Rhinolophus ferrumequinum: one gene and its partners. The protein of the gene in region 2 interacts with the protein of the main gene of each other region in a pairwise test. Links are inferred from orthologs where the notes say so. Each region holds a gene or a part of one and is shown on either strand. Other genes may lie near its edges.

Evidence for each region.
Region 1: the proteins of WAC (region 2) and DYDC1 interact in binary tests that used the Homo sapiens proteins (3 or more experiments, as listed by UniProt). The two-hybrid records come from large-scale screens. The link is inferred for Rhinolophus ferrumequinum from reciprocal best matches to the Homo sapiens genes WAC and DYDC1.
Region 3: the proteins of WAC (region 2) and NFE2L2 interact in a two-hybrid assay, tested with the Homo sapiens proteins (2 studies listed by BioGRID and IntAct). The two-hybrid records come from large-scale screens. The link is inferred for Rhinolophus ferrumequinum from reciprocal best matches to the Homo sapiens genes WAC and NFE2L2.
Region 4: the proteins of WAC (region 2) and TRAF3IP1 interact in a two-hybrid assay, tested with the Homo sapiens proteins (2 studies listed by BioGRID and IntAct). The link is inferred for Rhinolophus ferrumequinum from reciprocal best matches to the Homo sapiens genes WAC and TRAF3IP1.

Annotation. Positions count from the first base shown.
Region 1 is NC_046299.1:56,289,588-56,297,398, reverse strand, and holds the start of DYDC1 (DPY30 domain-containing protein 1), read left to right. Parts: upstream 1-4,803; 5' UTR 4,804-5,186; intron 5,187-7,811. UniProt on the Homo sapiens protein: Functions as part of axonemal radial spoke complexes that play an important part in the motility of sperm and cilia. Plays a crucial role during acrosome biogenesis.
Region 2 is NC_046288.1:908,631-915,785, reverse strand, and holds the start of WAC (WW domain-containing adapter protein with coiled-coil), read right to left. Parts: upstream 3,018-7,155; 5' UTR 2,592-3,017; coding exon 2,551-2,591; intron 2,353-2,550; exon of another isoform or gene 2,270-2,352; intron 2,175-2,269; coding exon 2,138-2,174; intron 621-2,137; coding exon 407-620; intron 1-406.
Region 3 is NC_046291.1:48,397,581-48,405,267, reverse strand, and holds the start of NFE2L2 (nuclear factor erythroid 2-related factor 2), read right to left. Parts: upstream 3,010-7,687; 5' UTR 2,450-3,009; coding exon 2,405-2,449; intron 2,083-2,404; exon of another isoform or gene 2,060-2,082; intron 1,837-2,059; exon of another isoform or gene 1,244-1,836; intron 1-1,243.
Region 4 is NC_046291.1:2,181,418-2,189,334, forward strand, and holds the start of TRAF3IP1 (TRAF3-interacting protein 1), read right to left. Parts: upstream 3,001-7,917; 5' UTR 2,897-3,000; coding exon 2,774-2,896; intron 1-2,773.

The DNA of each region.
Region 1 (7,811 bases), on a different chromosome or scaffold from region 2:
AGCTGTGCTCTTGTGAGGTCAGGAGCTATAGTCATCTGTGACCTAGATAAGATGGGCTTATTTATTTCACAAGGGACCACTGAGAAGCCCTGGGGAGGAGAGGGATGGCAAATGCTGGGCATTGTAGCTGCTGCTGGTCCGGGGCTCTGCCAGCACTAAACACCATATTCTACTCTACTGCTTAAGCAAGGAACTACTTTAGGTTGAGCTGATTCACTATTATTCAGATTTCAAGAGCTGGAGGCAGTGTAGCCTGCGTTAGACCACAGTGAGGAGAGGCAGTGTAGTGCAGCAGTATGAATACAGACTCTGGGATCAGACAGACCAAGTTCCTGCTTCTGCCATTTAATTAGCTGTGTGATCTTCAGCAAGTCACCAGCTCCTGTGAGCCTTGGTTTTCTCATCTGGAGAACAGAAGAACGAAAGTATGTGCCTCGTAATTATGAGGATTAAAGGAAATAATAAATGCATCTAAAGCACTTAGCCTGGCATATAGTAAGTGCTTAATAAATATTAGCTATTACAGTGGAATATTGTGATATGAAATGCCCTAAAATCTGGCCTATTCCTCACCAACCCCATGTTCCTGAAGTTTACATATCTTACCTCCAAAAGAGCTAATGATAAAGTGACTAATTAAGTCTCAGATCCAATCTGTAAGGGTGAAATTTAGGGAATCAATAATGTAGTTAAACTTAGCTAGTTTGCAGTTTAACTTACCGCATAGCTCACTATCCAGCCACCTGTAATTACACTTACTTTGTTTGCAGTTTGATCCATCCTGATATTCAGCTGTTTTCTCCTTGTTTCTCCCCTCACTGATTAGCTGAAGAACTCTGATTGTTCCCTTTCTCAAGGCTACCCATACCTCCTTAATCCATTTAATCAACAGAATCCCAACCTGGAAAGGGCAATTTCTTAATCCTCAGGTGCCCGGACACCGGAATCCAATTGACAACTCCCTCGCAGTTTTTACTGGTGACGCATTCAAGTCCCAGGCCTCGATGGCCGCGTCCCAGTCCGGAGATAACATTGTCTTCAAACAGACCAGACCCCAGGAAGGATGTCAGCCCTCGAACCTGCCTAACCGACTTCCCCTTTCCTATATAAGAAAAAGCTAACCTGAAGTTAGGAGCAGCTGCCCACTCTCAGATTCTAGACTCTGCCCCATGACACACACCCCACCTCCACCGCCACCACGCTGGTGTTTCTCTTCTGACAACCTGTGGCAGCAATCATTTTTGGACACTGCCATGGGCATTCTCTCTGTGCCCTAACTTCAATAAAAACTTCCTTTGTAGTAGAGTCTGTGAATGCTTTCACGTTTTGTGAATGCCCAGGGGTTAATTACACGCCACGACACAATCAACATTTTCCGGAGGCATTTTTCAGTTTAAAGAAGGAAAGCTAGATAGATAGATGATTGATAGATAGATATGAGTATAGAAAAATATATATATTTCCTAGCTCTTCCCATCGCAAAGTCCTAGAAGCAAAAACACCTCAGTAAGCAGCAAGCACACTAAGCATTCAGAACTTCTCCTTAAATAGCTGTCACCACTTAAAAGAGAAATCAGGACTCCTTGGAGTAAAATAAGAATTCATGAATCCACATAAGAATAAATAATTTCGTAATGTGATATACAGTAAGTTCTTTCTTAAAGTAGAATGCCAACTAATAAATGTGGAAAGAATAATGGAGTTTTTTTTTAAAAAATCACCATACTGTAACCACCATAGTATAACTGAATCAAGCCAGAATTATCTGTGAAGACTAAAACTCAGACAACATTTGACAAGGGATAGGATATTTATATAATCTCGAAGTTTCTCCCCTACAAATTATGTATTACTTTCCAAGGGAAATACAGAAACTTTACAGTGATAGAACCTGGTCACCACAACTTTAACCAGAGGATCAAAGTAAACATCCCCAATAAGGGGCAAAGTGACATAGTGTGTCTCCTGATGTGATACACTTCTTAGTGGGACATAATACACTTCTGTGGATTCCTGCCCCCAATGCAAAACTTGAATCTGATTGAGGAAACATCAAATAAAGTCAAATTGAGAGACAGTATACAACTGACCTGTACTCTTAAAAATGCCAAGGTCATGAAAGACAAGAGGAGGAGCCATTCCAGATTAAAGGAGCCTAAATAGGCATGCAATACATGATCCTTGATTGGATCTGGACCAGGAAAAAAAAAGAAAATTCCATAATGGACAGTGTTAGGAAAATTGGATAAACTGAACATGAATTGTAGACCACATAATAGAATTAAATCAAAGTCAAATTTCCTGGTTTTGGTAATTGAAATATGAGTAAGAAAATGTCCTTCATTTAAGGAAATACACAGTATAACAGGGATGAAAAATGGCTCACAAAAGTGTCTAAGTCCTAATACCTGGAACTTGTAATGTATGTTACCCTATATGGAAGGACTTCGCAGATGTGATTCAATTAAGAATTTTGATTTAGGGAGATTATCTGAATTATCCAGGCAGGCCCAATGTAATGACAAGGGTCTTTATAAGAGGGACACAGTAAGATCAGACAGAGAAGGAGATGTGATGACAGAACAGAGGGAGAAAAGGTGATGTGATTCGGAGCCATGAGCCAAGGAATGTAGGTAGCCTCTAGAAGCTGGAAAAGGCGAGGAAATGGATTCTCCTCTAGAGCTTCTAGAAGGAACGAGCCCTGCCAATACTTGGTTTTAGCGCTGTAAGACTCATTTTAGATTTCTGACTTCAAAAACTTTAAAAGAATAAACGTGTACTTGAAGTCACTAAGTTTGGGGTATAGGGATTCAGAATGAGTCACCCCAAGATGTGCCTCTATGGCACGCAGATTGTTTTGAGCTGAAGGCAACCTGTGGGCTCAAGAGAAACTTCTGCCCTTCCCACTTAACTACCTAGAACTTGAATTAGGGGCCTTGCCCATAATAAGAGATTATCAGAGATAACATTTTTTGACCAATCGGTAGGGCAGGGAAAACTTCTAATTACTGAAAATCTCTTCATCTGTCTCATCTCTAATTGATTATTAGACCAGCTGAAAAAACCCTGAGCGTAGAGGAAAGTTTCCTCCTCTCCCACAGGGATAGTGGTGAAGTTGGAGACAGGGGTATATGTTGTCTCTTTCTGCTAATCTGTGGTCCACCTGAACCAATGCACTTGGATAAACTACCTTCTACATCCCCTGGGGGCTTGCATCACCTGGGGGCTTGCTGAAATGCAGATTTTCAAGGTCCATACCAGGCCTAATGATTCAGTCTACAGTTTAACAAAATCCCCAGGTGATTCGAAGTCACAAGTCTACTTTGCCTTTATCATTGTAGAACTGCCCTTCCCAGAGAGTCGAATTATCAATTTTGCATTCCCAGGAAGCCTCTCTACTTCCAGTCCTTGGGTGGCTGTCACCCTTTCTGGAGGAAGCATCTGCTCCAAATTGCACATTTTCAACAATGGTCTCAATGAAATATGTTGATCTGACAGTTACTAAGACTTGATGCAAAGACAGCAGAGCCACAATAACAGTGCCACAATGTAAGGCCTGGAGAGGGAGGGGGCAAAGGGGACTTTTACAGCCCACTCCCGACCAACTCCGGGCACACTCACCAAGCGGGAGGGGGCTATATTTTGGAGTCTCCCAGAGCTCTTCAGAGGGTCTGAAGGGTCCCCTTGCCCATGGCCTTGCACACAGTAGGCAGAGCAATAAGCATGGAGAGTATCTTTGTTCACACTCTATTCCCAGTGCTAGGCACACAGTGTGTGCTCAGTAAATACTTCTTCATCTGCCAGGGCTCTGATGCTTGTGAGCCCACCCAGACAAGCTGTCATGCAGGGTGTCAGGCGGAGTCTCTGGTCCTGCTCCCCACATAAGAACACAGGAAATGGTGAGGCCAAAAAGGAACACCCACAGAGCCATAGATAGGGGAGTCATACCATTATATTCTCGCTGGTGGCTGGGTTGGAGACACAGGAAACAGGATCCACACGACCTGCAACCTGCTGTCCGCTTCTCTGTCAACCAACCAACCCCACTTGCTAGCTGCACTCCACCGTGCTAACTGCAATCCACTCTGACTAGCTCAGCCACCATCCTCTTGCTAGCCTCCATTTGCTGCTAGCGTAGCCACAGCAGTTATATTAGTGGCCAATGGCTCACTGGTTACAGCTGACGGCCAACTAGCCACAGCTGATGGCCATCCAATCGCAGTTGATGGCCATTTGCTAGCTGAGCCAGCACCTTTCCACGTGACGCGGAGAGCCTGGAAACTGCACTCCTGGCTCTGTCCCCACACAAGCTCATGGTCCCTTCAGTCAGTGCCCACTCTGGCACTTCCAGCGTTCAGTGAGGCATCTCCCGTCCAGTACTGCCTGCCCGGCACGTGAATTAAAACAGAACACTCCCGGGATATACTAGCAGAGTATTGGGCACAAGACCAGGCCAGGGAAAACTGCAATGGCTCTGACCTGGCAGAGGTTGGATGGCTTCCCGGAGGTGAGGGCACCTGAGCTGGTTCTAAAAGCCACCAAGCAGAAGTTACCAGCAAGTGCAAAGGTGTGAAGTCGTGAAAATACCGGGCCACAGAACTTGCAGTGATTGTCTCCGCTGGCCCCGGGGGGTTGTGGAGGGGTCTCCCCCCATTCACAGACAGAGCCCTTTGCGTCTCCTCTCCGCGACCCCGCCGCCCGCTTATCTCTCCCAGGGAGCGCGCGCCCACCTGTCCCGCTCCACTCCTGTTTTCAAGGCCCCTCCTTATAGCCTCATAGTTGCAAGTCTCTACTCACCTATCCTGGCACCCACTCGTATCCGCCGCGCGTTCTCGCCCTCGCTCCCGCGCTCCTCAGCTCACCCGCGCTCGAGCCCCCTCCTCTCTGCTGCGCGTCCCCCACGTCCCGACCCTCCACTCTCAGGTCACCAGCCCGTGCTCGCGTTTGTCTTTGCCGAGCGCCTCATTCCCACCCCAGGCAAGCGCGCTCGCTGCCTAGCGACGGGACACGACTCGCCGGTTGAGGGTAGGCGCGTGCGCCAGGCGTGCGTGTGACAGCGCAGGCGCCCTTTGGGAGACCGGGTCTTAGGGGTTGGCTGGGGTCTGGCTGCGCAGGCGGTTTGGGCCGTGGGACCTTGGCGTGGTGTAGGGCGCAGGCGGTGCCCAGGCTCCCCGAGCCCAGCGAGGGTTAGTTCAGCGCCGGGGGCTCCGCAGGCGCGTCTGGGGCGGTCTCCCTCCTCCTCCGCGGTGGGCGGCGTGCAGGGCGGCGAGCAGGGCGGCGAGCAGGGCGGCGTGCAGGGCGGCGAGCAGGGCGGCGAGCAGGGCGGCGTGCAGGGCGGCGTGCAGGGCGGCGAGCAGGGAGGCGTGGAGGGCGGCGTGGAGGGCGGCGAGCAGGGCGGCGTGGAGGGCGGCGTGCAGGGCGGCGTGCAGGGCGGCGTGCAGGGCGGCGTGCAGGGCGGCGTGGAGGGCGGCGTGCAGGGCGGCGAGCAGGGCGGCGTGGAGGGCGGCGTGCAGGGCGGCGAGCAGGGCGGCGTGGAGGGCGGCGTGCAGGGCGGCGTGCAGGGCGGCGAGCAGGGCGGCGTGCAGGGCGGCGTGCAGGGCGGCGAGCAGGGCGGCGTGCAGGGCGGCGTGCAGGGCGGCGAGCAGGGCGGCGTGCAGGGCGGCGTGCAGGGCGGCGAGCAGGGCGGCGTGCAGGGCGGCGTGCAGGGCGGCGTGCACCCGTCGGCCGACCGCGGGTGGGAAAGGGAACCCAAGCGCCCGCCCCGAATGGAGGATTGCCACATAAAATACGGGACGCCCAGTTAAATTTGCATTTCAGAGAAATAAGGCATAAGTTTGTAGTATAAGTATAGTATAATACAAAGTCGTTAGTTGTTTATCTGAAATTCAAATTTAACTGGGCATACTGTATTTTTATTTGCTGAATTTGGCCGCCTTGTCTGGATCGCCACCACTTCCCTACTACGCTGGCTGGCTTTCTCCCAGGCATGGGTGAGGGACCTCTCTCTGTTTCTTGTAACAACTTATCCATGCTTGAGGCAGTTGTTTCTGTGGGAAGGGGGGCTTTCTTAAATGAAAAAAAAAAAAAAAACATTGCTTACAACACCTTCGTGAGATGGGTATTATCACCATTTCATGGACAGGAAACATGCCAACCGAGGTAATGAGCCCTCTACTGGGTCCCCCTGATAATACCATGCAGGGTCCATAGATCTGAGACGAACCCTGGGTGAGGCCCTACCGTCAGGCCAGAGGTTTTCCTCTTAGGGACCACGGTCCTCTTCCCATGCATTATCTTTCTGGAGGAGCAACAGGAGCAATAAGATAGCCTTTTTTATCTTACATTGACAGATATCAATGTAGGTATTTTTGTCGTTAGAGTATATCCCATTGAAGAAATACAGTGAAGATATTGTGTTCCAACCACAGTTGTAATAATTCTTTTCTCTGTGTGGTTAAGACAACAACTCCAGCTTGTTAGGGAATCAGGTTTGTTTTTTCCAGTTTTTAGAGTTTTGGTTTTTATGATTCCATTTATCTATACACACATACGAGGTTGGGCAATTAAATTCTCGAACTTGTTGCAATGATGTTGCTAAACTAACCTTTTTTGATATCGGAGGGATTATTCATTATGAATTTGTACCAACTGGACAAACGGTTAACCAAGTTTACAATTTGGAAGTGCTGAAAAGGCTGCATGAAAAAGACGAAAACGACCTGAACTTTTCTCCAACAATACTTGCATCACGACAATGTACCACCTCACACGGAACTGTCTGTGAGGGAGCTTTCAGCCAGTAAACAAATAACTGTATTGGAACACCCTCCCTACTCACCTGATCTGGCCCCCAGTGACTTCTTTCTTTACCCAAAGATAAAGGAAATATTGAAAGGAAGACATTTTGATGACATTCACGACATCAAGGGTAATAGGACAACAGCTCTGATGGCCATTCCAGAAAAACAGTTCCAAAATTGCTTTGAAGGGTGATCTAGGCTCTAGTGTCAGTGCATAGCTTTCCAAGGGGAGTACTTCGAAGGTGACCGTAGTGATATTCAGCAATGAGAGCACTTTTTCTAGGATGAGTTTGTGAACTTAATTGTCCGACTTCGTACATACATATTCCTTTCCCCACTGCTGTTGCTAGTACAAAGGATGGCATACTATATACAGTTTTTGCACCTTGCTTTTTTCCCCCTTCATACTATGTCCTAGAGATCACTCTTTACTTTTAGAGATCTTCCTCATTCTCTTTTATATCTTCACAGTTATCCATTGTGTTGCTGTACCTCATCAATCCCTTCATGATGAACATTTGGGTGGTATTTCAGTATGGCTACTTCAGATTTTTGCAAGAAGGGATCCTAGAAGTGAGACTGATGGGTCAAAATTGATGTCATTTTCTAGGTATTGTGTAATTCCTCTCCATAGAGATTATACCATTTTGTACTCTTCACCACCATAGCATGAGAGAGAGCAGTATTGGGGTCTACAGGTGAATCTCATGAGGTCATTTTTTAAAAATTGAAGCATAGTTGGGATACGATATTATAATTTCAGGTGTATGATGTAGTGACTCAACATTTATATACCTTATAATGTGATCACCACACTAAGTCTAGTACTCATTTGTCACCGTACAAAGTTATCACAGTATTATTGACTATGTTTCCTTTCACCTTTTTCACCCATCCCCCCACTCCCCTCCCTTCTGGCAACCATCAGTTTGATCTCTTTATGAGTCTGTTTTCGTTTTGTTTTGTTTGTAGATTCCACATATAAATAAAACCATATGGTTTTTGTCTTTC
Region 2 (7,155 bases):
TTTATCAATAAGATGAGGCCCTTAAAAAGTAAATTTGAGCTGCAACACGGATCTCAAAATAAATTAAGCCAAATAAACTAAAACCTTTACTTGAAAAGGTGCAAGTTCCTTTCTTAGAAAAATGTCCTGAGTTTCTCTCATCATTAGTAAAGCATTTCGTAGACTATATTCATAAATGCATTCTATTATCAGTCGTTGGAGTCCATTTTTAGATGCTCAGGTCAGCATCTTATTTATACAATAACTTCTTCAGGAATCAAGTAAATTGACAGAAGTAAAATATTTTGATGACATAATTATATGGCAACATCCACACATTAGAAATGTTATTTCCACCTACTGTTTTATACAGAGCTATTATTAAAAATAAAAGTATTTTTAAAGTTTCAACAAAAAAGCTACTCACCACCATCCCTCTCTCTAACTCTGTGAATATGCACATTTTTGGCCTTACTGTGACCTGTGCCATCACTATATTTGTTTTCAGGACTATCAGATCTCCGCAACATTTTATTTGGTGGTGAAGGATCTGCGGCGTCTCGCATTTTCTCATGTCTGTGATCACCGCTACTGGGGTGACTCTTCGATGAATACTTAAGTGCCTGTAAAACATCACCCCCCCAAAGAAGAGAAAAAATTGAAACTGTAAACGTTGCTTCCTAAATTAATTTTATCACAAAATCTGGCTTTTTAACTTCATGAAGTTTTATGAATTTGTATCAATAAAATTAAAATTTCCATTTTCAATTGTGCATTTAAGGTATTCAGACAAGACCTACAAGCCTAAATTATTATAACACTCCTGATACAAATCATAATACCATGTAAAAAAAAATCGAAAAGTACAAAAATCCAGTCTATAAAGTATCTTGTAAATACATAAAACCAAACACTTTGGTGCATTAATTCCTCAATAAAGTTTTCAATAAAGTTTAACCTAAAGAAAAGTAGAAACTGAGTACTACTGTAGTCTATTTCTGCTCTACAACTGATGCAAAGACACAAATATAATGAGCTTAAGCATGTTTCTGCAAACCTACAGAAGCATCCGTTTCTCCAATCTTTTATTCAAATAAATCATTTCAAACATATCTTACCTATTCTTACAGGTGTAAAACAATTTTAAGGTATACAAAAAATGTTGGCTGATATTTCTAACGTAACATTTCTAATGTAAATGAAACTTAATGCAACCCCTTCACAATAATGGTTTAGTTTTATTCTAACACATATTTAAGACGACCACGATATACCAGTCTTTTACAATGTGTAATTATGTTTTTTAGGGGAGCAGATTCACTAGGGTTTAATCTTTGACATATCCAACTATAATGAAACTGTTTTACACATCAAGGGACCTAGGGTTTCTAACTTGAGCTTTAACTCATGCTAGCCAGTTAAAAGATCAGCTTAGAAACCTGCTCTCCTAATCACTAATAAAGTAATTAGATGCAGAAAGTATTCACTGCTAGGGTTATCTGATAATTAACCACTTAAGAGATTCGCCCCCTGAAAAGAGGCACCACCTGTATCAATTTTTTAAAACTTTACATGCAACAACTGCAATAAAAAGGAACCCAAATACCTAAAACCCTCTTACATAAGAATGAATTATCCAAGTATCCAAAGATCTCAATTCCTACAGAAGCAAATCCACTATCTTTCACTAGTAAGGCAATTATTTGCACAAAAAACAATTGAGAGGGGATAGTGGTTTACAACACACTTAAGAATTACAAATCAACTAGTTGTTTCTTCCCAGACCTTTCATCTAATTTTAATACTTTAACTTTTAGTTCCCCAATACAATAAATACGGTTCAGAAATCACCTGTCACCTCACCCTATCGATTCTTTAGACACCCAAATAATCGAGTAAGGTCTTTCCTGGCTGAGAATGATTTTTTTCTAACACAACTGACCTTCCTCCAGTCACCTGTCAAAATAAGTAACTAAACCTTGTTGGGGAGCGCTAATGGACCCAAACACAACATTTTAAGAGAACCCGTGGTGCTTGTTTCGGGTTTGTTGCACCAAAGGGCCTGCAGCGACTTCTGAAGCCTGCGCTCGAGTAGCAGCAGGTCCTCCCTTCCCCCTCCGTCCCCCATCCACCCCTCCACCCCGGTCTCGGCTGGTACCTGGTAAGGCTGCGAGTCCCCCCTCCGGTCGTGACAGCTGAAAAACAGGAAGAGAGACAGCGACATGAAACATCTCGGGGGGGGGGAAGAAAACGGGTGCCCCCCCAGCGCCCCTCCCCGCGGGGAACCTACCAAACGAAGCGGCACTGAGCCCGCACACAGACACTCGCCGCTTAAAGGCGGTAACGAGGGCGAAACGCCGCGAACCGGCCCTCCGCTCCCTCCCCACTCACTCGGGCCTCGCCTGCCCGCGCGGCCGCTCCTCCTCCCCAGCCCGATCCGGATCAGGGTTAACAACAAAAATGGCGGCTCAGCCCGCACAGATAAGGAGGAACAGCCCCCCCGCCGCCGCTGCCGCCGCCGCCGCCCCCCGCCCCCGCCGCGGCCCGGCCCGAAACGAAAAGCCAATTTACCCATCACTGAGTCTCTGCTGTTTCCTCGCATACATTACCATCAATGCCCGGCCTGTGAGTGTGTGTCGGGGGAGGGGGGAGAGTGGCCGCGAGAGGCGGGCAGGCGGGCGCGCAGGCGGCGGGCGGGCGGCAGCACCGGCACCAGGGCCCGGCGCGCCCTCGGCGACTCTCAGCACCTCCCCGTTACTGGCGCCGGCGCTCCCGGGCCATCTCCCTCCGTCCACACCACGCTCACTCTCAGTCCGGGCAGCGGCGCCAACTATACGGCGGCAGCGGCGAACCGGGGGGAGGGGGGCAAGAAGACGCGCCCGGCCCAGCCCCGCGGAGAGCGACTGCCTCCTCCGCCTTCTCCTCCTCTTGCTCCGCCGCCTCCTCCCCTCCTCCCCCCGCCGCCGCCGCTGCCTGGCCCTTCTCCTCCTCCTGCCGCCGCCGCCGCCGCTGGTGCCGCCGCTGCCGCTCCACCAACTACATCCGGGCAACTCGGAGGCTGCGGCCTTCGGCAAACCTCGGCAGTTTCCGCCGCGCCCCTCCTCTCCCACCCTCGGTCCTCCTCCCCGCCCCGCTCAGCTCCGGAACGCCGCCTTCGGCAAACCTCGGCTCGCCCCGGCCTTCCTCTTCCTCTGAGGCCTGGCTCCCGGCCTCGCGACCCGTCAGCTCTTTCCGGTTACCGCTGCTTTTCTTCACGCTCACGTCCGGCCACCGCCGTTCCAGTTTAGGGAGAGTCCTGCCTGGGAACCCGCTCGAGGCTGGTCCCAGGGGCCCCGGGGTGCGCCGGGAGGGAGCCGCCTTCGGGAGGAGGACGGTGGGGCGCGAGAGAAGCCATCTCGGACTAAATAAGGGAGGCTGCGGCTGCTGCGCGTGCGCCGAGGCGTGGGCGGGGGTGGGGTAGGGTGCCCTGGGGGGAGCGCTCCGGCCGCCGGCCCCCGCCCCTTCGGGCTCGGGCGAGGTGGTCGCAAACCTCTAGTTAGGCGACCGGGAGGCGGATGGTTACCGTGGAGCTTCCTCTGTGAGCATCAACGGAAGCTGCCCTCAGGCAGGTAGGGAGCGCGCGACTGCTCCTTTAGGCCAGCTCTCTGGAGGCGGAAGCCGGGCCTGGACACCAGCCTCAAACTGGACGCTTAAGGCGCCACCGACCTGCGACGGGCAAGGGCTGCTTGGAGCCCGCGCGGCGGCATGTTAGAAGTAAGTCACAGCTCCAGAAGCCAGCAAAGACGAATGTGAAGGATTTAGGGATACTGTGCCCAATGCGACAAGGCCTTGTGCTTGCGCAGCTCTAAGGTGGAGGTTCCTGAACCGAGCTGGGAGCGCCGCTGGGCACAGTGAATTAAAATATTGGATGAGCCCGGAGACTCAGGGGGATGGGTGACTTGGAAAAAGGGTTGGACCGCCTTATCCTTGTTTAAGATTTTCCACGCCCAGCCGTGCCCTCTCCAACCTCTCTTTATTTCCCATTTTTCGTCTAGTTCCTCTTCCTTGTTGAAGTCCTATGGTGAAAGGAAATTCATTTGGAGGTTTGGCGTGCGAATCAAGGCCTAGGTTGTGTTCAATGAAAATGCTACAAATCGAATTTTATAGACTGCTACAGGCACAATAGTAACATTGCCAGATGGGAATGGAAAAACTGTCAAGTGTATAAAAAATTAAGTTTTCCTTGAGGTTGGTGGTATTCAGATAATTATTTTTTCTGCTCCTTGCAACATTAGTAAAAAACATTTTAGTATAAAGCAAATATACAACTATTTACATAAAAGAAAGAGGCAGAATAGGAAAGAGAAGAAACAAGACTCCTCCAAAAAACTATCAAAAAAATAACTGATTTATTTGGTATCCAACAAATAACAATATTGCTGGACCTAATGAAGAGATGGAACGATGTGGGGAAAGGGCCCTGAAATCACGGTTGATTGAAAAAAATAAATTACATTAACTTTATTTATCACACCCACCAGCCACATGTTAAGATTATTGCTGTTTGTGAGGACTAGTAAATGCCTACTTAAGCTGTCGGTAACTAGAAAAGAACTTTCAGTGACTGAAATGAGAAAAAAAAAAGCCACCCAAAGTCTTATGTGTAATTTCTAACGCTTGTAACAAATACTTTGAAGACAGGAGACATCCGATTAGAAAGGTACAAAAAGTAATATATTGATCGTATGCAGAAACTTTGAAAACTGGCAGCAAAATGTGTTACTAATTTTTTATTTGATGATCAGATGTGTGCTGAAATTGATACGTATCATTTGATCAAAAGCAGCAAACTGGACTGAGCTATGGAGGAAACAGTTCCAGGCAATGTAGTCCTCATTATTCACAGATTCCATGTTCATGAGTTCGACTACTCACTAAAATTTATTTGTAACCCTGAAAATTAATGCATGCAGCATTCATGAATATTCACAGAGTAGCAAAAAAATCTAACTTGCCTGACACATTCTCAGCTGAGGTTAAACAAGGCTATCCTCAGCTTTGTTTCACCTCGCATACTATAATCAAATGCGATTTTCATAATATATATAATGTCATGTTTTTCACCTTTTTTTGTGCTGTTTATTGGTGATTGTGTTGTCTTAAGCACTACCGTCCCCTTACCCCCCAAGCAGTGCTGCAGTGCTGTCTGGTAATTCGTAAGCACAGGAAAGCTGGGATGTGCCTTGCGGAGAAAACGTGTCCTAGAAAAGCTCCCTTCAAGCTTATCATTAGTGATCTTGGCCATGAGTTCAGTGTTAATAAATCAACAATGTAAAATAAGGTATCTAAATAGAAACGCATAAAACAAGGTGATGTATTGATTGGTTGACAAAAATGTGACCAGAGTCTCTCAGGAACCTAACCCTGTGTTTCCCCTAGGAGCAGTTTAGTGTTCATCGTGACTTTATAAAACATAACTACTTCAAATAATGAGAATAGAGTTTTCCTAAAGGACACATCTATATGTTATACCCATTTTTAAAAAACTCATTGCCTACTTTAGATTCCAGTATCCGTTGTTACAAATTCTCCTTTGCAAATACCATCAATCCTTTCCTTCTCTCTTCCTGCATTTCACCTGCCTAAATCACAACCCTGGTTGATTCAGTGTATGCTTCCGTCAGAGCAGTTCAACTTGGCTGAAGAAAAATACGCAGCAGTGATAACTCTGAAGTGAACTCCTCAGTATTCTTACCCCCTCAGACTAATTTCCTTGCCCTCTGAGACAGTTATTTACTATCTTTCTTCTTGACTATACAGGCCCCCTCCTCACTCATAAGTCATTGTTTTCTTATCTAGAAAATAGGGGAAATCAGAAATCAGTAATAGCTTCTGCCTTCCACCACTGCACCTACCAACCTTCCTACATCTGAATACACTGCTATACTCCAGTAACTATGGCTAAAATGTCAAAATTAAGACCTAACTTGCCACTTTTGCCTTGAGTTCCATTTTACTCTTGTAATTGTCCACTTTCCTTATTGTTTCCCTTGCAACTGGATCACTTTGGTCAATTTATAAACATGCTTTTAAAGCATCTTTAAACAACAAAACAAAAAAACTTGACATGGAACTCCTCCAAATATTACCCCATTGCTGTGATCTGCTCTCCTCTACAGAAAATCTTCATCTCCACTTCTGCTCCTCTCTCTTGAACCTACACTCCATTGAAACTGCTCAGGAACAGCAGTAGCCTCCATATTCTTAAATCCAATTTTTATTACTCTGTCTTACTTCACCTGTCAGCAGCATTTGAAAGAACTGATAACTTAACTCTTTTCTTTCTGAAGTGCTTTATTTTACCTGCCAGGATTACACACTATTTCCCTCTTGATTTTCTTCCTTCCTAAATGGCTGTTCTTATTCTCCTTGCTGGTTCCTCCTCATTTTCCAGCCTCTAAATGCTGGAGAGCCCCAAGTTTCAAATCTCACAACTTGAACTACTTGTTCTCTCCCCCTCGGCAATCCCATTTAGATCTCTGGCTAAATGAAACCCAGAATCTCCAGCCTACACCTTTATCCTAAACACCTATCTAAAAACCTACATGTGGCTTCCCATTTCACTCAGAATAAAAGCTAAAGCTCTTACCATAGTCTACAAGGCCCTGTGTAAACTTCCCCCATCCCTATTACCTCTGGTTTCATATCCAAAGACGTTTTACTTGCTCATTTTTCCCACAACTCTATCCTCCCTTTTCCTCCAATATATCAGGCATGTCTCTGTCTCAGGACCTTTGCACTATCCTTCGGTCCAAGAGGAATACTCTTCCTCTTGGTACCTACTTAGCTCAAACTATCATTTCTTTACGATTCTGTCCAAATCTCACACTATCACAAAGGTCTTTCTCTGAGAACTATACAAATGTACCCCACCACCCTCTCACACTTATCCTGCTGTGTTTTTCTTAAACAGTTTGCTATAGAATATGTTATATATTTTTGTTTATTATCTCCTAGAATGAAAGCTCTGTGTAACATGTTAGGTAAATATTTGTTGAATGAAAGGATATTTGCCTACAAAAATATACACAAAAAAATAGCAAAATATTGTAATTCTCAAGAGGAAAAGGCTTATGGTTCTACTTCTGCTTGCTTTCTAAAAGAACAATAGGATTATAAATCCAGTCCTGCTGTCAC
Region 3 (7,687 bases), on a different chromosome or scaffold from region 2:
TCACATCCAAAAAGTCAAGTTGGTCTTTGGTTAATAGTCATTCAGGAGATGAGAGATCTGTTGCATTTTTCTTTTTAAAAATAATCTTATCTGTGTAGTCCAAGATCAACTTCATCTCTTATACACAAAGTACTTTATCTCTCCAAGACACCCTTGAAAAGAGTTAATGGTTCCTTCCACCTGTTGGAGAAAGAATCTAAGGCTCTCCTTACTGACCTGTTCATGAACACCTTCTCTGTACAGAGGTAAAAACCAGGATCTTAGTACCACATCACACCTGGAGTTTCTCTGACCAAAGTACAGAATCCACTCTTTGTTCAACTCTTTCTAGACTACAAACAATGATTTAATATGAATCACAGGCATGAAATTAATTCTAAATTTTACTCCATTTTCTTTTTCCATAGTCTTCAAATGTATACTATTGATGTCTGATTACAAAGACAGAAAAGGAGTTACCTTACCAAACAAAACTGAAAAAATTCCCATTTAAATGAGAAAGCAGTGTATATGCCTTATGCACTTCTGCATATGAAATGTTAAATTACATAGTAAAAAAAGAAAAAGGAAAAACAAAATAATGAAGAGCTTCAGGTTACAATTCCTGAATTTAGGAAAGCTAAAGGTCACTAGCATTTTATATCCTTTTGTCATATAGATGGCTATATAGATTACTCTTGAACAGCTCGTAAATCCAAAAGCACACTTCTTCATACTGGTGGAAACCAGGGGAATACATTCCCTATTATTACTGGGGGAAAGTTCAAGACTGTAAACAGCTTCAAAAAAAAAGCAGCATAATTAATACATTGCTAATGACGTAAAACCTTATTTTACATCTTCAGGATCAGTCTAAAACATTAGGTTTATGAGCATAAACATATTTACTGTACTTATTAAGTTATACATTTCCTTGAACCAAATATTTTTTCCTCAGAACCCAATTACCAAAACATTGGAAATATAAATATCTACTCCTTTAAAAGTCCCTACAAAGTATGAATAGAAAATTTTCACTTTTACAACAATTTAAAGAACTTTATAGCACAGTATTATGTAACACAGGTGTTTCACCCTCTCTCTGCCCTTGCAAGAGAAGCAACATGCTAAGAAATCGAGGCAAATTCTCAACAGAAAAGGAAAATTATACATAGCATCCAAAGGAGAAATAATACATGAAAGCCAAAAACTTAGTAACAGCCTAAAAGCAATAACAATTCTAATGTACACTCGCTACACTTACCGTTGACAGCACAAAACACAATATCCTGCCTTACACATTTTGGAATTGCAATTCTGAAATGCTAAATCCAAAGACAAAGCCGCCCTGGGGAAAAATAACAATTGCGCAACAGATCAACAGCTCCAACTTGTCCCTTGGCCTCGGCGCGGCAAGGTTTGCACGCTATAAAGCAGGAAAGGGCCAACCAAGGGCCGCCGTGACAACCAACCAGCCACTGTCACCGAGGCCAAGGCCACGCACGCGGCGCGCGCCACGGGGAGGAATCCCGCGGGAATCGACAAGTCCGGTTGCGGTCCTCAGCCCCACCCACTCTTCCCTGCGCGTTGAGAGGGGATCCCGGGTTCTCAGAGCCTGAACCTTTCCAACTGCGCGAGGCCCACTTCGGCCGCCGCACGTCGGGGCATTCGAGCGCTCCGGGCACTTGGGGACCTCCTCCGTCCCCCACCTAGGGGCAGGGCTTTCTCGCCAAACTGCCTCAGAGAGTGATCCGACGAACAGACAGATTATTTTGCAAAGGAACACCCTTAGACGGCCCAGCAGGATGAGCACGCAGTGCCGCAGACCGCGCAGGTTGTGGGGCCGGGGTCAGCGGCGGCAGAGGAGGGGTTCCGGGTCCCAGCCCGGAGGGGACCTCAGCTCCCCCGAGAGTGGCCCCGTGACTAGGCACATTTTTGCCGGCTCCAAGGCGGGGGAGACGCGCGGCCCCGGAAGGGCCGGGCCGCGCCGGCTCAGACCGCCAGCGTCCGCCCCCTCCTACCCTGCAGCCTCTGGGGCCGCTCAAACTCGGGGGGCCTAATGGGGCTCCTGGGTCCCAACCTGGTGGCCGGGGACGCAGCTAGAGATTCCCGTTCACCCACGCACGCACGCGGGCGTAATCCCAAGCCCCAGCCAGTCGCCTTCTGAGGCCGCAGTCAAGTTGTCGGTCTGACCACCCCGTTGCGCCCCTACTCCCCTCACCGCCCCTTGGGTCCCCGCTCCCGATCCCCGCCCCACCCCGCCCCGGCGCAAGCGCAGCGACTCCAGTGCGCGGCCGCTGCACTCCAGGCTCCGGCCACAGACGGGAGGAGAAGCCGGCTGTGGCTGTCCGTGCCGGGCCGCGGCTCCCTCGCGCCCCTGGCCCCGTCCTGGTACCACAGCGGGGCCCTGAGGGCCGGGCAGCACCTGCTGGGACGGCAGTCCTGGCGGCGGCAGCTCCAAGTCCATCATGCTGAGTTAGGGACTGTGCTCTGGGGCTCCCCGACGGCGGCGGCCCTGTCCTGGCTGCCGAGACGCGCTGCGGACCAGGCGGCACTGACAGCGGCAGCGGCTGCGGCGACGGCGGGCTCTCGGGCACTCGCTTCTCGCCGACACGGCCCGAACAGCCGGCCGGGCTCCTGCCCCGACACGCCTCCCGCCCCCCGAAGGCGGGGCAAGAGCCCGGGCCTTTCCTTCCCTGACTGGCCGCGGGAGGAGGTGCCGAAAATCCCCCACCCCCGCCCCGGCTGACGCAAGAAGCTCGCGGTCCTGGGGCGGGAAAGGGCCGTGAGCGGGGGTCCCAGTGGGCGGCTGCGGGGGGGGGTGGTGCCGGGAGGAGGGCTGCTTTAGCTCCCGGGTCCCCGCGCTCGATGTACCCTATCCGCACATAAAGCCAACACTCTCCGCCCGCGAGATTAGCAGTTGTTTGCCGAAGGTCGCTCGGGTTCGGGCGCTTTGAGACAGTTTAAACAGTTGGAACAAACACTCCTAGAGCCCCGGCAAAGGCGCTGGTATCGGAGCTGCGCCGCCCTGATTTGGAGTTGCAGAACCTTGCCCCGCTTTATCTCACCCCACCGCCCGAGAGTGGCGCCAGCCCGGGGGACGGGGGCTAAAGGCTTGGACCCGGCCCCGAGCACCGTGAGCTGCCCTCTCGCCCTCGGTCCCATCCGGGACTTGCCCAGGGGAAGTGTGGACCGCGCGGGGAGCTCGTGCTCGCGGTCACCCTGAACGCCCTCCACTTACTCCCACGCGCCTGCATTCTCGCTAAGCTCAGGACGCCAAGGGCAAACGAAGAAGTCTCTTTTGGTTGGAGAGGAGGCAACAACAGCTTCATTTTCCCACCAACGCACACACACGATAGCACAGATGGCGTCCTTTAACACTGTGCAGTACTAGGACATGCCATAATCTTGACAAGTTTCTTTTCAGGTACTCACGATGAATTTAAAAATAAAACAAAGTTATAAAGTAGTTTGTATAGTATGGATCACTGTTGTAAAAACATGTGCCTAGAAAAAGAATTCCAAGTTGTCCACCAAATAGTAGTAGTTGTAGGCTCATGAATGATTTTTATCTTTGTTATTTTAAATGTTTTCAATTTACAATGTATTAACGTTTTACATGAAAAACAATTACTTAAAAATCAATCACTACCCACAGAAAACTTCAGGTTCTTGAAAACAGGAATACTGTGAAATCTTACAAGATTTAAAAAAGAATTGATAAATTATTTTCTCTTACGCATTAACATAACTCTTTCACAATACTGGTTTTCAGATTTTAGCTTCTTGGAATTATGCAAAACCAGGTGTGATGCCAGCAGTGATGCCAGCAGTGGTTTTACTATTTCATTCAAAAACCACACACACAGCCCCTTGGCTATAGCAGATCAACGCCCAAAGAACTTACTTTCTCATGGTTGCATAATTTGACACTCCCAGGATTTATCTGTAAATTTATATGTTCAAATAGTCCTTGGGGTAAGTGAAGCCTACATTAATTGCTTGTAATGGAAGCAAGTTTCTTCAACTTGAATTAAACCTTTTTAGCTGCTATGTGAAAAGCCTGCAAAATAATCTGCACACTGAAAACAAACAGGAGAAATTATTTACAATGAACCTGACATGAAACAGGCAGAGATATAATGAAATGACATTTCTGCATCAAAGAAGGGCAAAGTATATTGTTAACAATTGGAGTTACGTATTGAAACTACTACATTGGAGAAGGTAGACAATGAGCCGAGGAGGTAGGAGATAACAAAGGCATATATAACATGGCTGCTGCCCTCAAGGAGTTTGTAAAGTGTTTGGTATTTCCTCCTTGAGCAACAAATTGCCATTGAGTTTAGACTCAATGAAATAACCTTTACTTTTACAGAAGTGAAATTGCTGGGAGTATATTATTTTAGGCACCTGCAGAGTACATATTTTCAAAGGGAGTAGAACAATATGATAAGAGTCTGAACATGTTTAAGAAAAATAAACACTAGGGAAAAGCTATTTGGCGTAAGAAAAGGGAACCCCAGTCTCATAGCCGCCACATAAAGCAGTTTCCCAGTCTTTGCAGACATTGAAACAAGATTGTCTTTATGTTAGGCCTTGCCTTCCAAACTTATATATTGTGCTGTGGGTGCACAGATTCAACATGTTGAGAAGCTCCAGAAGAACTGGAAAGATGATGCTGGTTTTTCTCTCCTGTCCTGGTGCCATGGGAGCCCTTTTTACTGCCAGGCTCTCCTAGCTACTGCTTTATTTTTTCCCCTCAATTGGTTTCACATTCTACTGATCCTTGTACATTGATGTCTGAATTCTTTGATGTCTTTGGAAAGACAACCCTCCGTATATGCTTGAAATGTGTCAATATTGCAATACTTTGCTCTAGAGTTCTCATAAAAATTAAGCATCATCAAGTAAGCCTTCTGAGCCCACAGTTTGGATAATGGTAATGCAATGACCAATTTATTTCACTTTCTTTTCCTTGATCTAAGCTGCCAACTTTGTAAGGCCCAAGAAAGTACCTACTGTTTCAAAATCCTTCCCCATCTTGAGTTTTCTTCACTCTTCTTTTCACTTCTCCTTAATTGTAATCCATGTTTGAGCTAGGAAATACCGAGATTCTATTGGAATTATAGCTGAAATTGTAAATTTGTTCAACTTACAGTTGGAGCATTTCAAGTAGCTGGTTTTTAAAGATGGCACCTAAGGAATCAGCCTTCTGATACCGATGTAATCTCCTGACACTGAATCAAGGCTGGCCCTCTGATTTGCTTTAACTTATGGAAGGAGGCTGGAAATGACACACTGTCAGGTCTCCTTAATTTTATACTCTTAGAAGTCAGCCATCACATAAGAAGTCTGACTATGTTCATGGGGAGAGAAGCCATGGGGAAAAGCACTGGGGGATGAGACTCCAAGCAGAGAGAGAGGCTATATGAACCAAGGCATCAGATGGGTGAGTGAAGAAACCATTCTGGACCTTCCAGTCCACCTAGTCAAGCCCTAGAGGACTGCAGCCCCAGCTGCTATCTGACTGCAACCACATATAAAGACTCTAAGGAGACCCACAGAAGCCTGCCTGGCTAAGCCTAGGGAACATAAAGAACTGTGTGTGAGAGATTATAATAGTTTTCAAGCACTAAGTTTTGCTGTGGCTTGTTTCACAGCAATAGATAACCAAAACAGTGTGTATTGAATATCAAGATTTCTCCTGGCTGCTTTTTGTTTGTTAACCATTACTGGGAGCACATATAGGACTAGTACTTTGCAAACCCTCAGAAGCAAACTGACTTCCCTGTGAATGAGGAAGGTATCTTTCCTATAATATATGCTTGTTGCTACATACAAAGTAAATCACCTCATCACAGCATGCGTCAGTATCATACCATTAGATGGATGTTGGTGAGATCTTCTCCTTATCAAAATACACTTAAGGAACACAGACATTTCAGCAATTAAGTAGATGGAGGAATAAATGCATACAGAGATTCTGGCCCTGACATAACCTCATTTATACCAGTTTTGTAAGATACTTTCTGAATATCTGCTGAGGGAATTTGAACTTCAGGAGCAGCGTGCATAGTGGATAAACTGAACTCCAGTATAGCAGTGTTCAACACAATTAGTGTATTAATTTCAAAACACACCCATAACCTTGGTTCCTTGGTGTGCACATCTCATTATGCAAACTACTGACACAAAGAGCTATCAATCTCCAAAGCCAGTTTTAGCTTGTAGTTTCCTGCTCATAAGAGAAACGTGCTCTGCAGGAGCCACAGTGCAATGAGTAAAGAAAAACACCCAGAAGTTTAAAAGAGTGCTTCTGAATGATATGTGTTGACATCTATTTAAATATATATGCACAGGAAAAAAATACTGAACATATATGCTCAAAAATGGTAAACATAGTTGTTCTGATTAGTGATGATTTTATTTTCCTCATTTTGCCTAAATAAATAAACCTGCATTTTCCTAAATAAACATATATTACTTTTATAATAATAAGCAAAACAGAAGTGGGGGTAGGAGTGTAAGGGGGGTATTAAGCTTTTCTCCCAAGCTACTGGGTCCACTTCATTTTCAAATTGAATTTTAACCATAAGCTTTGGAAATCTTTCTATTCTGTACCTACTAGAGTGGAACCTGGAGAATTTGATCAGACCTTTAAGTGTGGTTGTGGTAAGGGTCTAAAAATCCTTTGCCCTTTTAATCTATTGCTATATTTGCAAAGTGGAATAGGGGCCCCTAGACAAAGATGGAATTTTATGAATACATCAAGTAGAGACTAAGAACTACAGCATTGGAGTGATGTGCAAAGTGGCTGAGACATAACATCACTGTGTGGGGAAAATAGAGTGCACAGACACACAAAAAACACCGTGTTTCCCGAAAACGAGACCTAGCCGGACCATTAGCTCTAATGTGTCTTTTGGAGCAAAATTTAATATAAGACCTGGCCTTAAACTATATTATATAATACCCGGTATTATATTATTTATATTATATTATACCCAATATTATACCCAATATTATATTATATTATTTTATATTATTATATTGTATTATATTATATTATATTATATTATACCTGGTCTTATTATTATAAGACTGGGTCTTATATTAATTTTTGCTCCAAAAGAGGCTTTAGAGCTGATAGTCCGGCTAGGTCTTATTTTCAGGGAAACACGGTATACCTAGAGCTATGCCTTCGAGGCTGGTTACCAAATATTGATAACGGGTGTCAAATATCAGATAATTTTCACTTTATTTGTACTTTCCTGCATTGTTCAAGTTTTTCTAGTACACATTTTTAGAATTTGGGGGGAAATCAGTTAAATTCTTCTCATTTGGGGCAAACAGAAAGCAAGATGCAATGATGGAAGAGCAGAGCATCCTCACGGGCAAGGCTTGCAAACAAAGCCTTTAACATTCTTGAGGCTGGCATATAAAAAAGGGAAATAAAATTTGCCAAGATATTTGTTTACTGGCATTTACTATACCATGGACTTTCATTTTAGCCTAATATGTGGTATTAGAATTAAAAGAACCCTTGGGGATCTTCTGACCCAATGATGGCAAGTAAGATTTACTTTGACTGCCAACTCCAGTTGATTGGCAGTGCTGTTTACAATGTTTTGCTGAGAAGAATTCAGAAGCAGCTTCCTAATTTGGTAGAAAATTTTCAGTGATTGATTAACAATGTCTGCCATGG
Region 4 (7,917 bases), on a different chromosome or scaffold from region 2:
CAGGCGGGACCCAGCCGGCTGTGGGGACAGGTAGACGCTACAAAGATTTGCAGAGCACTAAGAGAGCACACGATCCATCCCGAATCCAAACTCAGGAGGGCGAGGGGTGTCAGGGAGCATCCCAGAAGAAATCATATATAAACTGAGAGCAGAGGCTTCAGGAGAAGAGTTGGGGGAGGGGGTACCGAGGAAGAGCGTGCCAGGCCAAACAGCCCCCGAAAGGTCCAGGGCCAAGAGGGTCCTGTTCAAGGGGTCATAAGGCGTTTGGGGCAGGAGGAACCGGCCAGAGTCAGGCGGGGGCCTCACCCAGAAGGCCTTCGAAGCCATTCAGGAATACGGACTTAGCCTAAGGACCACACGAGGCCCTGAGACGTTCGAGAGCAGGGACAGCACCTTACAAGGGCCACTCAGGCCTAGTGGAGAGAATGGATTCTGGGAAGAAAAGGAACAGCTCAGCGCGGGTTTCTGACACGGGACGGAAAGGTCTTTCTCCTCCACTGTTCCCCACGTCCTAGGACAGGGGTGCTCAGAGCCACATCGCTTCTGCTCTCTCCCCTCAGTCAACCTGGACCTCCCCATGACCCCCAAAACTAGCTTTTGGGGTGGTGATTTCCTCATTCCTCCCCACCCCCACACACAGTCAGGGTCCTGGCTTCTCTCAGACCAGAGCTTTTCAAAATGTGACAGGTCAACACAGTGGGTAGCAACAGCATTTTTGTTTTTCAAATGAAACAGAAAGAAAAGTCAGACTGCAGTGTGTGTAGCAAGGATGAGTACACCTGTATATGTGTGTGTCCTGGGTGGATACAAAGCATATGTATCACTGCCAGCCGTGTTTAAAAACGAGGACAGTCGCATGCTAATAGCAGGCTTCTCTGAGACGAAGCTACAGCAAGCTATGAACTGAGCTAGCTTTCATTCCTCATCAAACTACCTAAGAGCTGGGCTACTATTTTTAATTAATTAAGAGCTATGCTACTATTTTTCCTGAGAAGACAGGTGGAATATTAAGAGTAGCCTACACTTTATATTCCTGGCAACTTTTCCCTTGTTTCTTTCAAGGTTTTCCCAGTTCGTTGGCAGTTAAAACTGTCAGCAATAATTTTAAGTGACAAGAGATACTGATGTCACAAGACCAGTGCTTTGATTCATGAAAGAGGCAAAGTTGGTTTAGCTGTAGCTAAAATACTAAGATGGTGGCTTGAATACAACCCTCCGGGGCAGTAAAGAATTTTCATACAAGGCTCTCCACCTATTATCTGAAAATGCATTCGAATATGTCTGCCCAGAGCACACCAAGTCCCACAGGATGAGGCATGTCCCCCCACTCCCTTCCTGACTCGCTTTTCAGTGGGCTCACAGGACCAACACAGAAGATGAGAGCATGAGGCCGTGGCGGCAGCCGCTGTGCTCAGCCAGGCCCATGTCCTGGTGACTACCTGTTCCCTCCTGGGTTAGAGCACGCTACCTGCCTACCGCACAGGGCAGAGGTGACGCAGCACGCGGCCCAGCACCCACTGGGCTCCCCACACAGCCACGTCCCTTCCGCAGACACTGTCCAGAGCAGCTGGAAGTGCTGGGGACTAGCTGCAGGAGGAAGAGGCCAGGCCAGACAGCCCTTGGGATGTGGGTGGGATTCCAGAAAGTTTTCAGCACAATTGGGGTTTTTAACACAGAGGCACACATTAGAAACTAAGTTAAGATCACAGAAATGAGTAAAGCAAAGTTTGTGGAAGAGTAAAGTGTCCAGCCTATTGGAAAGAGTGAGAAATGAAGCTCGAGGACCACCGTGGAGAGAGATCAGGAGCCCCGGCAGTCTCCAAGCTCAGCCTGATTCCTAACTCCCAAGGAGTACACCCTAGTTTCCAAGTTCAATACCCACCTGAGATGCACCATAGGAACCGGCACCGCCTCCCTGAGCCAGAAGCCTTGACAGATTCCACTCAACAGTGACTGTTTGTTGTGCCCCTTCTGTGTACCGTACCCAGTGCCACCCGGGACATGCCAACAAAACAGTTACGGTCCCCGTCATTGAGGAATTCACCTTCCACTGGGGAAAAGTCAACAACCAATCTCAACTGAAGGCAGGCTGTGCCGTTTATCAGCAGATACTAACCTGCTCTTCTATAGTTTCCCTTTCCGGTTCCCCTACAACCACAGGTGTCCATTAAACATCCAATATGTGGTGACCAGTGTGCAGAGCCCTGCGGAGGAAAACCTGGAGGGGAGGGGGCGTGCTAGGCACTGAAGGAAAAGAACCACAAAACAGCTCTGGCAGGCAGAACAGAGTATGTGCTCTAACAGATACACAGGTAGGCTGGAAAGATATAATGCTCCCTGAGAGGGGCCGGGAGACTCCCCAGAAAAGGAGGTGCAGGGATGGATGAGAAGGAAGAGCAGGGGTGAGGGTGATGAACACCTCGCAGAGGCATCACCGACTTGGGCCCACGGTCACCCCTTGGGCCGCAGGCCAGGCAGGCTCCCGGGCAGGAGCTGCGCACAGCTACGTGAGGCCCGACCTTGACGCTAGCCCTGATTCGGGCCCCAGCCCACACCTGGGCCCCGACCTCGACCCGCACCAGGGCCGGGACCCCCATCTGGGCCCTGATACCGGCTCGCACCACAACCCTCATCCGCGACCCGCACCTGGGCCCCGACTCCCACCTGGGCCCTGACCCCTGGCCCTCACTCCGGCCCCGACCCTGACCCCGCCCGCGCCCTCGGTCCCGACCCGCTCCCCGCACCCGAGCCCCGACCCGGGAGCCGCACCCACCTCCGTGATGATGTCGTGCAGGTAGCGGAACGGGGGCTTGCTCAGCAGCTTCTCCGTCAGCGGCGGCCTCCGAATCACCTTCCCCAGAGCCTCCTGCGTCCGCTTCACCACCGCCGCGTTCATGGCGGCGCCGCCCGCGCTCCCGCCGGCCCGCCGAGTCCAAGCCCCGCTCTCCCGCCGCTCCGGCCCCGCCGCCGCCGCCTGCTCCTGCCCAGACGCGCCGTTCGGGTTTCCATCCCACAGTGCACCGGAGTCGGTCAGGGCGCGTGCGCGGGGCCGCGAGCGCTCGGTCGCCAGGGCGGCGCGGCCTTAGCAACGGACGCGCCGCGGCGCTCCGCCCCCTGCCCGCCTGCTGCGCGCGCACGCTGGGCGGGGGTCTGCCCTGCCCACTGCCTCGCTGCGAGTGGGCTGGTGGCGTCCTCTCCCTGGACCCTCCCAACGGCCTCGGGGAGCAGGAAGGTGCTCGCCGCGTGTTAGAGGGGACCGCCAGGGCTGGTTCACAGCGACGCCACTTCCAAGACTTGTGCTGCCTGTTTCACAGATTCCAAGGGGACCAAGTTAACTCAAACAACACGGAATAGAAAACGCCCAATCCTGTTACTTAATGCGGCTTCCTGGTGAAGTACAGCAGGAACTCGTCTTCTCTGAGATACCGTTTCTGTTCCTGTAAAGTAGGGTCAGCGTGTGCCAGCCTCCCTAACTCCCAGGGAGGTGAGAGCCAAACGGTGGCGCCAGCGCTCGTTGTGCCAGGTTGTCTGTGCTTCCGTCCCACCTGTGTTCCATCCACCCCGCACAGGTGCACTGCAGAAAGCCTTCTAGCAATCTGGAAGCGTGTGGTCTGTTCCTAGTTCTTCTAATGCATACCTTTATAGCTTCTATTTACTTTTTCTCCCCCCCACCATTTTCAATGCTCTTCATTGCTAGTGTAGATCGAAATTTCCATCTGGTGTCAGGCTCCTGTCTGAAGACCGTCCTTTATTGAATCTTTTAGCACAGGTCAGCTGGCAATGAATGCCCTCACCTTTTGTTTGTCTGAAAGTCTATATTGCACCTTCACATTTGAAAGATCGTGTCAACAACTATAGAATTCTGGTCGTTTTCTTTCATTCGGTACTTTAAAGATTTTACTCCATTCCCTTCTGGATTACAGAGTTTCTAAAGGGAAGACAGCTGTAGTTATTTTTGTTCTGTCTGTTGTGTATCTGGCTGCCTTGAAGACTTTTCTTTTCACTGTTGGTTTGCGTAAGCCTACCCATGATGTATCTAGGTGTGGAGTTTTTTTACTTAAAATTTATACTTAATTATTATTGACCTACAATAAAATTCACCCATTTTAAGTGTGCAGGCTGGTGCATTTTGGTAATTATATACAATTATGTTACCACCACCACAATCAAGACAGAAGATTCCTGCGCCCTAAAACGCTCACTTGCAGTCCATCTCTTTCCCCTATCCCAACCCAAGCAACCGCGAATCTGGTTTCTGTTATTATAATTCTGCCTTTTCTAGAGTTCCATATAAATGAAGTTGTACAGTACGTAGTCTTGTGTTTACTTGTTTCTCTTATGTTTTTGAGATTCGTCCATGTTGCTACATATATTAATGTCATTCCTTTTTATGGCTGAGTAATATTGCATAGAACACTTTGTTTATTTATTCACCAGTTGATGGACATTTGGGTTGCTTTCCATTTTTTGTTATTTATGAATAACACTACTAAGGCCATTTACATACCAGTCTGTGTGTGAACATAAGTTTTTATTTCTCTTGAATGAATACCTAGGAGTGGGATTGCTGGATTGTGTGGTAAGAGTAGGTTTAGTTTTACAAGATACTACCAGACTGTTTTCAAAGTGGCTACACCATTTTTCATCCCCACCAGCAATGGCTGGGGTTTCCAGTTGCTTCATATCCCTGTGACACCTGATATGTCAGTCTTTTAACTTTAGTCAGTCTAGTGTGTGTGTAATGGCCTCTTACTGTGATTGTAATTTGCATTTCTCTAGTGTTTGGAGCATCTTGTCATGTACGTCTTGGGCATTCATACAGGTTTGGTGACAATAGCCCATAAAGTGTCTTTCAGGCGCTTATGGAGTCACTGCTCTGTGCTGAGTAGTCTAGGTTCTGCAGATTTCAGGGGAAGTACGTACCTTCTAGAAAACAACTTCTGCTCCTGAGAACGTCAGTCTCCTGCAGCGAACAGTGTCTGGGGCTGTGTGAGCTGTGGCCACTAGACGGAGGCCAGGTGAACAGCCAGGGCTCATCCCCCTGCAGCAGTGACCACCTCACTTCCTTCCACACTTCACCGTGCAGGTGGGCTGGCGGTGGGAGAAGCCTGAGAATGACACCCATGAGGGAAGGAATTTGACAGCACTCCCTGTACAGAAGTGTCCCACGGCCCATCCATGGGAAGCGACCCTCAGAGAGCTTCCCCCTGGGTGGCCCTCAGTTATTAGCCCTGCCGCCCAGCTTCCAGGCCCAGCCCCTTGGGCGAAGCACCCCCATCCTCTGAGCCCGGCCTTGTCAAACCTTCCGGCCTCCTGGAAACCCCACACTACCCCTGGGAGCTTTTGTGTTGTCCTCCCCACCCACCACCACTTCCTTTCAGCTTGACATTATTTCCCAGGCCAGACTCACAGCTCGGCAGGACAGTCCCTGTGGCATTCGGCACGTTGGTCCCTTGGGACAGTCCAGGGTGTGGTGGACACTGCATCAGGCTCCTTCTGAGGCTCCCAGCTTCCCGCTGCTCTCCTGCGTGTCCACACACTTACCTTTGTCACTCACACATGTCCTGCTTCCCAAGAACAAACATTAATTCTCAAACAGTTCATCAAACTCCATAAAGAAGAAGGAAATCGCCTCCCACGTGCCTCATCCTGAGCATTCTGCCCACACTGAACCTAATACTTCAAATCCACACGGAGACCAGAGAACCGCGTTAGCTCCCTTCCCCCGCCGGCCCTGCCCACCTGACTGCACCTCAGCCCCCCCAAAAGTCATTTAAAAGGAGGGGCACTGTGAGACTGCGTGCTTCTCCTTGGCTGGCCTTACCCAGGAAAGTTGGCCTTGAAGCGACTCGGCCCTTAAACAACACTGTACCATTGTATAAATGTACGACAGCTCCTTAGTCCAGTCACCTACAGATGGAGTCCGTGGAATTGTAACAGCTACACGATGTCAGAGGGGCAGTAGATTGGGGGAGGGGAGTTATCACTTTGTGAGGGGTGGAAATGTCTAGTACATTGTTTTGGACACCTGAAACTAATTAAAAAAAAAAAAAAGGCTGCACCAGCTTCCTGCCCTCGGGTGTTAGGGAGAGAGGGGTAGGGCCTCCTTCTCACCTGCTGGCCAGGTGTGGCGCCTCAGGGGAGGCACCGCATCCAGTGGTGTCTGAGGACTGGAGCTGTGCTCACAGGTCTTCCCTGATCCGCTGGCGTGGCCCAGCAGGAGCCCAGAAGCTCTGTGAGGACTCCCCCCTCTGCACTCTGAACACTGGCCGGGGCGGCCTGAGTGGGGGTAGAGGGAGAACTCAGGTGTCGCTGACCCTGGCCTCTGACCCCAAGCACCTGCCTTCACAACAGACAATCCCAGCCCCTCCCCACAACGTTCACGCTGGGCAGACTCACCCTCTGGGCCCAGGCTGGTCTGTGAGCAGTGGGCAAGGTGGGTGTAGCCAGGAAGCCACCTCTGGCTCCTGAGGCCCCACTGAGGACCCCAGCCAGTGCCACACGAGGGGGGAGCCTGATTCCACAGCCTGTGGAGCTCAGGGGGCGCCCAGGCCAAGGAGGCCTTGTGGAGCCTGAGGACACAGGTCTGGTGGCTGTGGGACCAGGGGCCAGGAGAGAGGGTCTGAGAGGGTCCAGGACAAGCGAGCAGGGCCGCCCGAGGGCCTGGCTGGAGGGAGGTGGCCATGGAGTGGACACTCATCCTAGAGGTCACAACCTTCACTGCCCCTTGGTGAGGCCACACCCTCCACACAGGCCTTGGAAAGCAAGGCTGAGAAGCCGCAACTAAGGATTTCCGCTGCAAGAAAGAGACCCAGAACCGGGGCCTCAGGAGGGTGGGGGCCCCAGGCCAGCCTGGAGCCTCCAGTTCTGGGGGCGGGCGAGGCGGGGGTGGGGGTGTGTCAGGGGCTGTAGCCTGAATTACCCCTGAGCTTCTTAGCGTCATGAAAGGATTAGAGAGAAAGGCAGAGAACATAAAAAAAGAGTCATTCATAAAAAAATAATAATTGATTAAATAACTATAGAAAATCACAGCAAAGAAAGTGTTTGAAACATAAAAGCCTGGCAGGAGATGTTTTTGAAAGAAGTAATTTCTGAATGAATGAAGGACATAACAGTGACCATGACTCACCCCAGGAGAGAGCTCCACAAAGAAGGGTGGCTTCCAGACCCTACCTGCCCTCGCCTAGGAGGCAAACATCCCCAGAGACAAAGACCTGGGGGGGCTGACTGGGCCACTCAGAGCTCCACGTCTGTGAAGAGCCCAGGATGTGGGTCAGCCGGCAGGAAGGGCAGGGGAGGCAGATGCCAGGCGGGAGGAAAAGTGGCCCAGAGCCTGGAGACAGCCTCACTGGCCCTAGACGCAAGACTCGACTCCCTGACAGGCTCAGAAGGACAGGCCACAGTCTGTGAGGCCGGCCAAGTGCCATCATCAAAGCTGGGAGGTGACTGACATCATTCTATGAAACCTGAGGGGCCTGCATGCAAGGCCTTGTCTCCTCCTCTCCACGTGAGCCTAAAGAAGAAGACAAAGCCTTCTGTCCCTAAACTTGCTAAGGTTGTTTCTGCCTCAGGACCTTTGCACTTGCTGGCCCCTTTAGCTGAATAGGAACACTCTTCCCCAGATCTTAGGTTGGATCCTTGACATTATTCAGGTCTTGGCTCATATGTGACATCCTCAGAGATAGCAGAAGCAGACCACATCTGAACTCTGCAGCCTGATATCTTTATTTCCTTCAAAGTAATTGTCTATTCATGTCTACCTTTTGTTTTCGGTCTCCTCCCCCACTCCACTCATCCCCAGAAAGTGAGTTCCATAAGTAGAGAGGCCTGGTGGATTTGCTCACCCCTGAACCCCTTGTACCTAGGTACAAATAGGTACTTAGTAGCTATTTGCTGAATGTTGAATGGATTATGCTT